Linked DNA regions of Nothobranchius furzeri. The protein of the gene in region 1 interacts with the protein of each later gene in a pairwise test. Links are inferred from orthologs where the notes say so. Each region holds a gene or a part of one and is shown in the gene's direction. Other genes may lie near its edges.

The links.
Region 2: the proteins of atpaf2 (region 1) and lrrfip2 interact in binary tests that used the Homo sapiens proteins (3 or more experiments, as listed by UniProt). The two-hybrid records come from large-scale screens. The link is inferred for Nothobranchius furzeri from reciprocal best matches to the Homo sapiens genes ATPAF2 and LRRFIP2.
Region 3: the proteins of atpaf2 (region 1) and ebf1a interact in binary tests that used the Homo sapiens proteins (3 or more experiments, as listed by UniProt). The two-hybrid records come from large-scale screens. The link is inferred for Nothobranchius furzeri from reciprocal best matches to the Homo sapiens genes ATPAF2 and EBF1.

The regions. Positions count from the first base shown.
Region 1 is NC_091756.1:29,843,815-29,847,567, reverse strand, and holds the start of atpaf2 (ATP synthase mitochondrial F1 complex assembly factor 2), read left to right. Parts: upstream 1-1,478; 5' UTR 1,479-1,691; coding exon 1,692-1,809; intron 1,810-1,893; coding exon 1,894-1,938; intron 1,939-2,023; coding exon 2,024-2,172; intron 2,173-2,617; coding exon 2,618-2,715; intron 2,716-3,753. Other genes in the region: glucose-induced degradation protein 4 homolog, read right to left, coding at 566-625, 922-1,113. UniProt on the Homo sapiens protein: Plays a role in the assembly of the F1 component of the mitochondrial ATP synthase (ATPase).
Region 2 is NC_091752.1:5,388,269-5,392,006, forward strand, and holds the start of lrrfip2 (leucine-rich repeat flightless-interacting protein 2), read left to right. Parts: upstream 1-921; 5' UTR 922-1,109; intron 1,110-2,235; 5' UTR 2,236-2,275; coding exon 2,276-2,365; intron 2,366-3,738. UniProt on the Homo sapiens protein: May function as activator of the canonical Wnt signaling pathway, in association with DVL3, upstream of CTNNB1/beta-catenin.
Region 3 is NC_091742.1:46,498,450-46,502,202, reverse strand, and holds the start of ebf1a (transcription factor COE1-A), read left to right. Parts: upstream 1-1,043; 5' UTR 1,044-1,169; coding exon 1,170-1,303; intron 1,304-1,986; coding exon 1,987-2,143; intron 2,144-2,978; coding exon 2,979-3,042; intron 3,043-3,501; coding exon 3,502-3,557; intron 3,558-3,753. UniProt on the Homo sapiens protein: Key pioneer transcription factor of B-cell specification and commitment. Recognizes variations of the palindromic sequence 5'-ATTCCCNNGGGAATT-3'.

The DNA.
Region 1 (3,753 bases):
AAATTCCTTAATTATCTGATGCTGATGTTGCTTCCATTACCTAAATTAAAGCTACTGATCTAAAGAGATGATAATCTTAAGAAACAGAGATTTCTGCAGAGGTAAAGTGTTAAAAACTAATTTATTCCGCCAGGAAAATATCCTGACTCTTCCACTCTTCTACGTGTAACCTTTACACTTATAAAAATATAGTTTTCTGTTAACAATTAATCTAGACAAACCTGATGCAGAGGTAAGACTCAAGAGAACTACATACAGACTAGAAGTGTTATGGCAATGATTTGCTCCATCAGGAAGCAGCCATCTAGCACTTGTTTATTTATCTGTATATTCTGCATCTCACTGATCTTTGCCATTTAAAGGATGCGAAACTGAAATAATACAGTTTTAATAGGTGAAGTTCTTCAGTCTCATTTCAAATACATGCATGGGCTAGAATTAGAAAATTGTGGATTAAACCGATGTAGGCCTTTTGAGAAATCAGAAATACAGTTTTCTTTCTAAAGGCAAGAAAATTCAGTATGAATCAAATTTAAGCAACAAAACACTTCGTGTCCCTGCTCACCTCTGTCAGCCCTTTTATCTTCAGGTAGCCACACAAGTAGGAATCTTCCATTGTGACATGCTTTAAGAAGAAAAAAAAAGATTTTCATCATCCAAGTCAGCAATAAACGTGCTTTAATCTACATTCGTATGGATCCCATGATTATGTTTCATAAACATGCTAAAACAGCCTGTTGGTCTTTGAAAATCATATCAAAAAGTCCACCTTTTCAGCAGCATTTAGTGAAAATTGACTAGAGACCAAGTACAACACTGATGATGGTCTGATTCAGGTAGGACAGAGTGTTCAGCTGTCAATCATCACACGGTCGGTTTGACACATCACATTAATGACTGTATACACGCTTCAATTCCTACCTGCAGGACAACCTCCACATCGTAGGAGTTCCCTTTGCTTTTCTGGTGGCCCCGAAACTTAGAGCCGCTGTACAGCAGCGAAGTGACGACGCCGGGCTGCTGAGTGTTTATAGGGGGTGGCGGGATAAGTGAGGCCGAGGATGTGAAGGCCGCTGCGGGTGAGTCGCTGATGTATCCAGCAGGGACGGGCATGGCTCCCACTTCGCTGGCTGAGCACCAACCACGGTCAAAACACTGTGTTCGCCTCTTCGAACAGCTAAATGTTTACTGAATACGCTCACCGATATTCAAATTTCACTTAATTCCAATGTAGCACAGTTTACCAAGCTGCTCGAGAAGTAAGTGGACTTGCTGTGCTGTAGCCAGGAGCATTCACCTCTCTGATTGGTCGACTGAGTTCGCCGTACGAAGATTCTAAACGCTTATTGGCTGAACGTGCAGAAGGATTTACGTGACTATTTGGTTGTAGTTTTTCCCCCTTTTGTAATGCAGCGCAAAGGGACTAAGAGGCTCCTAAAAAAACTACATTTCCCACTAAAGTAAACAGTTTACGACACTGTCAACCAACTCGCAAAGAAGGTCAGCCAGCGTGCTTGAAACGCCGGAGCTTGAGACGAGAACAAATGCTAAAACTGCAAACAGTCTGTAAATGATAGATGTAAATGTCATTCCGTTTACGATGTTGCGCTATTTTAAGTGAGAAACGGTGGGAAAAAGCTTTGCGATTTGTTTCTGTTTTATTATTAGCCTTACGCCAAAGTCGCTGAGCCATGTTTAGAAGTCTTATTAGACTCAAGAGTCCATTTGGAAGTGTTATTTCTCTTTACAACGTGTGCCCGAGGCATCAACACTCCAGTTGTACGCGGAAGTATTCCACCGCCACATCAGGTTAGACGGAAAATATTAGTAAATCCGTTTAGCTGACGATTTCATTAACCCTGTTTTCTTTTGCGATGTTGTGCTGTGTACCAGAGAGGAAGAAGTTTTATCAAGATGTAAGCATCTCCCAAGGTGAAGGTAAGAGGAAATGTTCCATTCCTGTGTTTACATCATTCTGTCTTATGGTTGTGCTAAATATTAATAGCAATAATAATCTGTACAGGTGGTCTCTACGAGATAAACCTTGACAGAAGGAAACTGAAAACTCCAGGTGGGAACCTGTTCGTAGTGCCTAATGAGGCCCTGGCCGTCGCTGTGGCAACAGAGTGGGATGCTCAGAAGGATACGCTCAAGTTCTACACTATGCATCTGGTATTTGGCTATGCACACATAAAGCTGTCAGCCAGCTGCCCTTTCTCTATTACGTGTGTGCGTGTGTGTGCGGGAGTTTGCATCTGCTTGGGACGGGATTGAGGATGGGAGGACGGAGATACAAAGGGGATCTCTTATGTTAATCTGTGTGGGAGGGGTGGGAAACTGGCTGCTGGGTTGTTTTTAATATTGTAAAGTGCTTTGAGCAGCATTTGTATGGAAAGCGCTTCATAAATACATTTTGATTGATTGATTGATTGAGAAAATAAATTTTAAATACAACGAGTGACTTCACCTCTGTAATAAGGGTACATTCCAGGAAATGCGTTGTCCAGCTGAGTGTGAGGTGTCCATTTATGGATTATATACAGTATGCATGCTTATAGCTATGTCCTGTCAGTTACTGAATCATGGATCTGATGTTCTTGCTAAACACTTCTTGCAGACGACTCTGTGCAACACAGCTCTGGACAATCCAACTCAACGCAACAAGGACCAGATGATCACTGCTGCTCTGAAGTATTTGGAAACAGACACCGTTTGGTAAACTTGTTATTTTTATATCTATATCAGATAAAACATTTGTTTATATAACTGAAACAACGGCAGGGTTATACAGCCCAAAAATAAAATCTCTGATTTTATTTTTTAAATTTGATTTACGATTCTCTCTCCCCCTCAATTATTAAGAATAGCAATAAGTACAAATGGAAGGCAACTTAAAGCCAATTTTGTTTTGTATTTAATCACAAGCAAGAGAAATGTTACCCTTATTTCTGAGATGAATAATGAATAAATGATCACCCTCTTGGAATAAAAGTGCCAAGCTCCACATCCGTCGCAGCAAACCCAAACCAGTTCCATACAAGGGATGATTTAATTCCTCTCGTAGGAACAAACTTCCCACTCTCACCGGTGGCCATGGAGTCACTTGCTGTTGCACATCCGTGTACGTGCTGTGACGTTGTTGTCGCGGTTATGTGAAACTAATGCTACGGAAGCTCCGGGGGGCCAAAAAGGCGCTATTACATAAAAATTTGATTTGCTTTCTTTAATCGCCAGCAACAACAAATTCGGCCTGGGTGATGATTTGATTATCGCCCAGGCCTAACTGAAACTAAACCAGGAAAACTAAGCATCCAGTAAGGATCAAAGGTCATTATACCAATATTTATACATCACTGCTTTTAACACAAGACAGTTGAGCTCAGATGAATGGCAGAGTAGATTTTCATAATCCGTCAAAGGTGAATGCACACAGGCCAGTTGAGCAAGTGGACACCTGATTATTTCTATTGTAGTAAATGCAAAATGCATTTTTCAATTAGTGATTCCATTTATTAAAGAATTAAATCTTTCCAAACCAATTTGACCCTTGGAGCCAGCAGCTGTCATCAAGCACATGTGGCTTTCACATCTCTGTGAAAGATTTATGTCCCGCTGCTCGTTACAGAAACTGAAATCAGCCACATTGGAGGGTTTTCCAGCATGAATTACCTGTTTAAGGTCAAAGGTCAGACATTCTTCTTCAGGATGTTTTGCTAAGGAAGCAGCCTCAGACCATCACACTACCACCACCCT
Region 2 (3,738 bases), on another chromosome or scaffold:
CAGGACACGCTGGAGGGACTATGTCTTCCCTGGCCAGGTAACACCTTGGGATTCCCTCAGAAGAGTTGGCCCAAGTGGCTGGGAAGACGGATGTGTGGGCCTCTCGACTTAGGCTGCTGCCCCCACGACCCGGCCGGATAAGCGGAAGAAAATAGATAGATGCATGGACGTTGTTCTGACTTTGCAAGTGGGGGAGGGGACACAACTGGCATGAAGACTGGGTGGGGGTGGGGTCTTTACTGTAAGTATGTGTGAAACTACAGACTAGAGGCTCTGACAAGTACACAGTTGGCAGGAATGGCCAATCACACGTTAGCAATTATCGGCAGAGCCAATAGGTGAGCTTATGGACGGTTCTAATGGGAAAGTGGTTGTTTTCTTCTTGGTCCAATAGCTCAACCAGTGTTGATTTAATATGGCAGCATATTGTTTTTGGACAGTAAAATGTGCAGGGGACAAAAAGTGTGTGTGTGTGTGTGTGTGTGTGTGGGGGGGGGGGGGGGGGGGTCCTCCCGTCCTGTCCCCCTCAAAAAAACTCCATCCGTGGATGGATAGATGTTAAAAGTTAAAACTTTACACTGTATTTTTCCTGTTATTTCAAAATGTTTTCATATTTCAGATATGAATGAGTATATAAGAAAACAATGAGCGCAATTCATGCGTTAACCGTACAAGTTATTTGGTATATCGTGAAAAGGAATGACAGAGAAACTTTTCTGGTTATTAAAATATTACATCACACGTTTCTGCTTTGTTTTTGCCAGAGTGACAAGAGAACGCTTCTATGTCCTAAGGCATGACGTTTCTGAATACGTTTTTTTAAGTAGAAAACAATCCTTCCCTAAATGGATATAATGTTAACATTTCCCGACCGCACCTGAAGGCACCATCACACCCTAATTTTTCCAAACATCCGGGGCATTTTCAGCCCAGCAGTGTGTGGACAGTGGAGAACGGTGGAGATCCGTGGAAAGAAAGGCGGACTGATGACAGCTGTCAGTGTGGACAAAAACTACTAATCTGTGGGGTGAAATCGAATGACTTGCTCTTGAAGGGACAACACCTTGACAGGATCGCGATTGTGTTATTATTTTAAAACTGTCGTAAAGGTAACGTGCTCATTTTGGTCTTGGAAATATGACGGGAGAGTCAGTCAGTTTGTCCTGGCTGTCTCTCAGGAGCGTCTAGGTTAGCCCCGCTAGCTAACTTAGCTAACTATCTAGCTAGGATTCATGAAGCTTCTTAAGGTTGTTTTCGGAGCTGCCATCAAGAGGACGGACAGTTCTCGGCTTGTTAAGCGTTTGAATTATTAATGGCTCGCTATGAGTTTATTGGTTTAAACTTTTAATGACATTTCTGAGAGCAAGTAATGCTAGTTAGCATTCCCAAAGTTAGCTTACTGAAGAGGTGGCTACTCACATTAACGCAAGTGAACTGGCCAGTAACAACAAATGGCGTTTACTGTGGTAACTTACGGTGGTTTATATTGGTCGTCAATATCAAATTTATTTTCTGTGCATTATTAGCTGGTGGGTACATTTGATTAGGCTTGAGTGTATGTGTGTGCTAACGTTTCAGCTGACTGTTGTGACTTAAGGTGTGTTATCTTTGTCATCTTCAAACTTGATCTAATTTCTTCATTTCCTGATCAGATAACTGTCATTAACATTAGTAGTTTTGTACCTGTGAATTTAAATATTCAATTTGAATGATCTGGACTCCTTGATTATTTGACTATTAAATACAGTCTGCCTTGAAGGCACTAACTAGCTGCAGTCACAATATTAATCTCACACATTTATATTTTAATGTAAGTGAGTCTAATCACATAATAATCGTGGATAGGTTTGTTTTAAATTAACTTATGTTTTCCTAATGTGTTTACAGGCTGATTTATGAGGCTGCACAGATCCTAAATGTCACATTAAAGCTGGTTCTTGTCAGCCACAACTGTTTTATCAGGAGTCCAAATGGGGTTCATACATGATGGACTGTCTGTTTTTGCAGGAATGGATGGGAGGCCCAGGGGAATGTGTGGGCTGTTGCATGCACAGTTAAAAGCGGGAGAAAGTAAACACAACCATATCAATATAGTCACTCGTGAACGACCATCTTCTGTACACAGTTTACTCAGTGTTACTGTAGTGTTTGGGTTTGTTTCCAGACCTGTTTAAACTGTTTTCTTTAGCATCTGCTCTTCACCGTTTTTTACAAACACAACTGTCGATGTTCCAGGTTCACACTAAATTGGTGACATTCCAGTGGCGGCACTGACATGGGGACACAAGGCACTGGCAGGAAGCGTGCTCCTTTAAAAGATCGCTTCTCAGCAGAAGATGAGGCTTTGAGTAGTATCGCTCGGGAGGTAAGTTCATGTTTCGTCACACAAGTCCATTTTGATGCAGAACACCGATCAATCTGCATCTTGTTCTCTAAGAGCCTCTCTGCTCCTGAGTTGAAGCAAATAATGTTTTACGCCGCTCTGATGTTCTTGTTTTACCTCGGGTATAGGTTGAACATTGATTTGTCATTTCTGTGTGTTGATAACGTGAGCAGCAGGACCATCGCCGTTTTAAGTAAAGGAAACACGAGCAGGCTGATCTGATGCTAACAGTTTGAAAGCCTTTATGCAAGATAATCAGATCTTTGAATATTTATTGTATGAGTTCCATTGCTTGTATTGGAAAAAAGCAAATTCCCTTATAATGCATTAGGGCTCATTTATTGAATATAGAATGCATAAATATAAAGAAAACTTTGACACCAGTGTTCTTCAAACAGTGACCTAATTCTAAAACAAACAAATGACTACGTTTGGATGATAAATATCACATAAGCGGCTGAGTTTGTAACCCTTATTTTATCTCGATGAGTCGGATTTGAGGCTTGTCTACAAAATTCCCATCAGACTGTTTCTGAGGGTTGTCTACAGGCTTGATGGAAAACAAGAGCTTCAGGGTAAATAATCATTTCATTTGTTTTTGTCAAAGCTGGAGCAGCAAAATATATCTTCATGTGGATATTCAGGTTTTTGCTGTTTGATGTTTGTTTTGGGGCAAATGAGTCGAAGAAGTCCGTCTGAGGCTTCAGAGCGTTTGAAAGTGTTTTTGTTTGAGAGAGAAAATCCAGGTAGAAGAGAGATGCAACCAAACCTGTAACAACATGCCCTGGGATTATTCCATTTTTCTTCCACAGCAAGCCATCCGTTCCTTAGCTTTTTTTGTTGTAGCCATTAAACATAAAATTCAAATTTCTGAGGTTTTCCATGACTGGCAGGTATTTAGAAATCTGGTACGAACCGTGCACGTCTCATCAAATCAGTTGAGATCATTGCAGCTAAATGTTGGTTAAATCAGTTAGTGAATAGATTTATGGTCCTTTTGTAAAGCTGCTCGACAGCAAATGCAAGGCCCCCTTAGCTCTCTTAACAGTCGTGCTGGCCGATCATAGTAACATGAGTCATCTGACCCTCCCTGTCGGGTCCTAAATCTGAATCTCTTTGTGGAGCAAATGAAAGATTAGATCCCGTGTGCGATGGGTTCAGTGGGTCAGTGTAACTTGTGCATCACTTCCTTCCCAAACCAATCCTCATAATGCAGCTTCTGCTTCATGGCTAAGAGAAGTTAAAGCCAGCCTGTCTGTGCCTGGCATGCTCGGTGAATAACCGATACCAACTGATTACATGGATGGGATCATTGTATCAAGTATAGTGGTGAAAAGATTGTGTAGCACTACAGA
Region 3 (3,753 bases), on another chromosome or scaffold:
GTTTAGTGTGTAATCCTCGTGTTTATGTTGGATCCATCACTAAGTTGGTCTGCAATGCGCCTAATCAGAGGGGGAGAATTGCGCCAGGCTTCTTGGTGAGCTGAAACTTTCTTAAGATGATAATCTGTCAGAGCTGACACTGAAGCAACCCTGGATGTTTATTTCTGAGCTAAACGCATGCACACCTGTACGTGTTGCGCAGATTTTCTCAGAAATTTGCTTTTTTATTTATTTTTTGTTTTTAAGGTTTATTCCTGCATAAAACAAGAAAAACAACTAAAACACATTTAGTGATTTTCAGTAAAACATCGTTTACGCCAGGAGTCAGTGCCGTTCACACAAAGTTTAAACCGCTCTCCTTCTGTCCAGAACAGCAGTTTGATGGGGCTGATCCACCCGCTATGACCCGCCGTCAAGCTCAAGCACAGTGCACAGCTTCAGGTTGGAGAGGGGCACGGGGCGGGACGCCGCGCGGGACAGCTGATTGTTCGTGCCATGAACTTGGGTGCGTTTCCGTTTGCTTTTCAGACCACGCCCCCTTCACCTAGTAGTTTTCTCCTGTTAGCATCCCAGAGATGGTCCGGAGAGATTCCTCAGGGAAGAAAAGAGTGCAAATCAGCCGAGCGGGGAGCGCAGAACTGCCTCCTAATTGCGCGTAATCTTCCGTTTCATCCACGAGAGCAGAGGAGGAAGAGCTTGTAAATCAAGACGCGGCGCACAAGGAGCAAAAGACCCGCTTTATCTTCGTCTTCTTGGTCTTTCTGTTGCAATAGAACTCGTCTGACATTTTGCTTGTTTTTGTCGTCAGCTGTTCACCTTGATCCGGAGGACTGTCGCCAACTCAGCGCAGCGCCTCTCATCCTGCGCTCCCCCTTTCATCCTTTCTCACTGCTCTTCCTCTCGTCGAGTCGCTGACATGAGGAGCAGCTAACCTCTGGATGCTGACAGCTCCCCTTTCTTCCTTCCACATGTCGCATCTTTTGTTTACTTTGAGGGGGAAACCGCGCGCGTCTAAACACCAAGCGGTGTAGACCACGCCACTTTGCTCCTGTGACAGCGCTATCAAAGAGGAGGGAAGGCAAAGAAAGAAGAAAAAGGGAAAGGAGGGAGCCAAGGAGAGGAGGATAGAGTGAGTGAGAGAGATAGAGACAGCGGGAAGGTGCGTTTTGATGTTTGGCATCCACGAGAGCATCCAGAGGAGTGGGAGTAGTATGAAAGAGGAGCCCATGGTGGCCGGGATGAACGCGGTTCGGACCTGGATGCAGGGCGCCGGAGTGCTGGACGCCAACACAGCCGCCCAGAGGTGAGCCTGAGGCGGCCTTGGCGCTGCGCTGTCTCCGCTCAGACCGAGGAGAGGAGAGAGCGCGGGGTCTGATCTGGAGTGGTGGATTCACCTGGGGCGCAACGTGTCCCAGAGGACGCATAGCTGGGGGGGGGGTCACCTCTGCTCCGCGCGGCATTTTACTCGACTCGTTCAAACACTATATGTGGTCCGGAGATTTTATTTTATTTGGTTTGATTTCAAACAGGCAAAAGAACCAGAGTTTAAACTGTTTTCAGCTGAGTTTGCGCCTTTTTTGTGTGTTTTGGGGTCTTATGGTGCGAAACTTTTAAAAGTTTGCACACATTGTTCACTTTTAATGTCTAAAGTTAATTTTACAATAAATAAAATGTTAAATTTAGAGGACGCTTTGATGAGCATTAATTTATAGCAACACCCTTTAACAGCAGGCTTTAATATTATAATAATAACTATTATTATTATTATTGTGACTGGTTCAGATTCTGATGGTAACTTTAAATGATTTCGTTGCCTCATAATTAAAAAACATTACCCGCACGTTCAGCAGAATAAACAACAAACTGCGCTGTTGGATCAGACAGTCAGCGCTCAGTTTCAATAATTAAACTGAGTCATTTTTGCACTTTCTGATATCTGAATGTTCCGTGGTTGAGGCCGCTGCTGCCTTGTGCTTCTATCCGCAGCGGAGTGGGTCTCGCTCGGGCTCACTTCGAGAAGCAGCCGCCCTCCAACCTCCGCAAGTCCAACTTCTTCCACTTCGTCCTGGCTCTGTACGACCGGCAGGGCCAGCCGGTGGAGATCGAGAGGACCACCTTCGTGGATTTTGTAGAAAAAGAAAAGGTGAGTTAGGAGCTTTTTTTTTTAATTGATAATTAAAATCACACTGAATGAAAGCTGGTCCTTCTAGCGGCGCATCGACTGGAGCCGAGCCTAGTCGCCGGGGTGATAAATCACCAGACAGCAGGTCCTGAAGGCTTCTCGTGTGATTTTTAAACGCTGCTTCCGGAACAAACCTCTAGTTATTGTTACAGGAACGCTGATTTCCCTGTTAAAATAAAGTAATTTCCACGTAATTTCCTAATTGCATTTATCTTATTTAAAAACTTTAAAACTCACTTTTCGCCTTTGATATTCTTAAAGATCTGCAAATATTAATAATCAACAATTATTATCGATTATTTTAAACAAACATCCAAATAAACTCTTAGATTTTTGTTGATTTAACATCTTCCTTATTTCTGGCATTCGTTTATTGAAATACGTGATTTATTTATTAACGTTTATTTTATTTAATGGCATCTCCATTTGTTCTTCTTCTTTTACTTGCTGCGGTGTGTGAATCTTTCATTTTTGAAGACAATTAAACAAATCGAATTTTTTTTCTAATATCTCAACCACTCAGATCAGGTGTAAAAATGATTATTTAAAATAATTAAACAAACAATCAATGAGTTAAATTTGTTTTCATGTTTTATCAAATTATAAACTGAGACAAACGTGTGTGAGTTTTAACAAAGTTAGAAACAAACCGACGACCTTCTCATTCTGGCTCCATAAACGGCTCAAGTGCTGTGGAGAGGTCAGTATGAAATCTCACATTTATTTTTCTGATGGATCAGAACTGAGGTGAGACGCAGGAGTGTGTGACCGGTTCTGTTCGGGTTCATGTCCACAGGAAACGACGGGAGAAAAGACCAACAATGGGATTCATTACAGACTCCAGCTGCTCTACAGTAACGGTGAGTTTCTGCTGCCGGGCTGTTATTCAGGTGGACTTAGTCCCGAAAATAAGGAGGAAACTTTGGCAAATATATGAAAAATGTCACATTTTAAAACACTTCACCAGTTTAATTAAAAGTGTGTTATTTTAATTCATTCAAGCCTTGAAACACATTAAAACCAAAGCTGTTGTTTCACATGTTAATAATTAAGCAGCTAATTAATTTGTCATCTTATTTTTGAATTAAAATGTAAGACAAATACTTTTTATGAAAATTAAAACATTTTTTAAAGTTTCTGCCAGCTGACAAGTAAAAAAACACTCATAAATGACATAGCTGCCATCAAGCGCCTCACAGGGCAAATCAGAACACACACACACACACACACACACACACACACACACACACACACACACACACACACACACACACACACACACACACACTTTATTTGAACACCTTTCCGTCTCTCTGCAGGGATCCGAACAGAGCAGGACCTGTATGTTCGCCTCATCGACTCCATGACTAAACAGGTAGAGATTCTGCATCTGACTAATCATTAAAAAGTCTTCTGGTCTGAATGTTTTCTCCCCTCCATCACCAACTCCTCCCCCTTGCCCCCCCCCCCCCCCCCATGACTGAGACCCTCAGCCGGCTTGATGGACGACCTGTCGTACCTGTGGAACAGATTTACACAGGCCCAGAAAAGTATAGAGGACATGTCCTCAC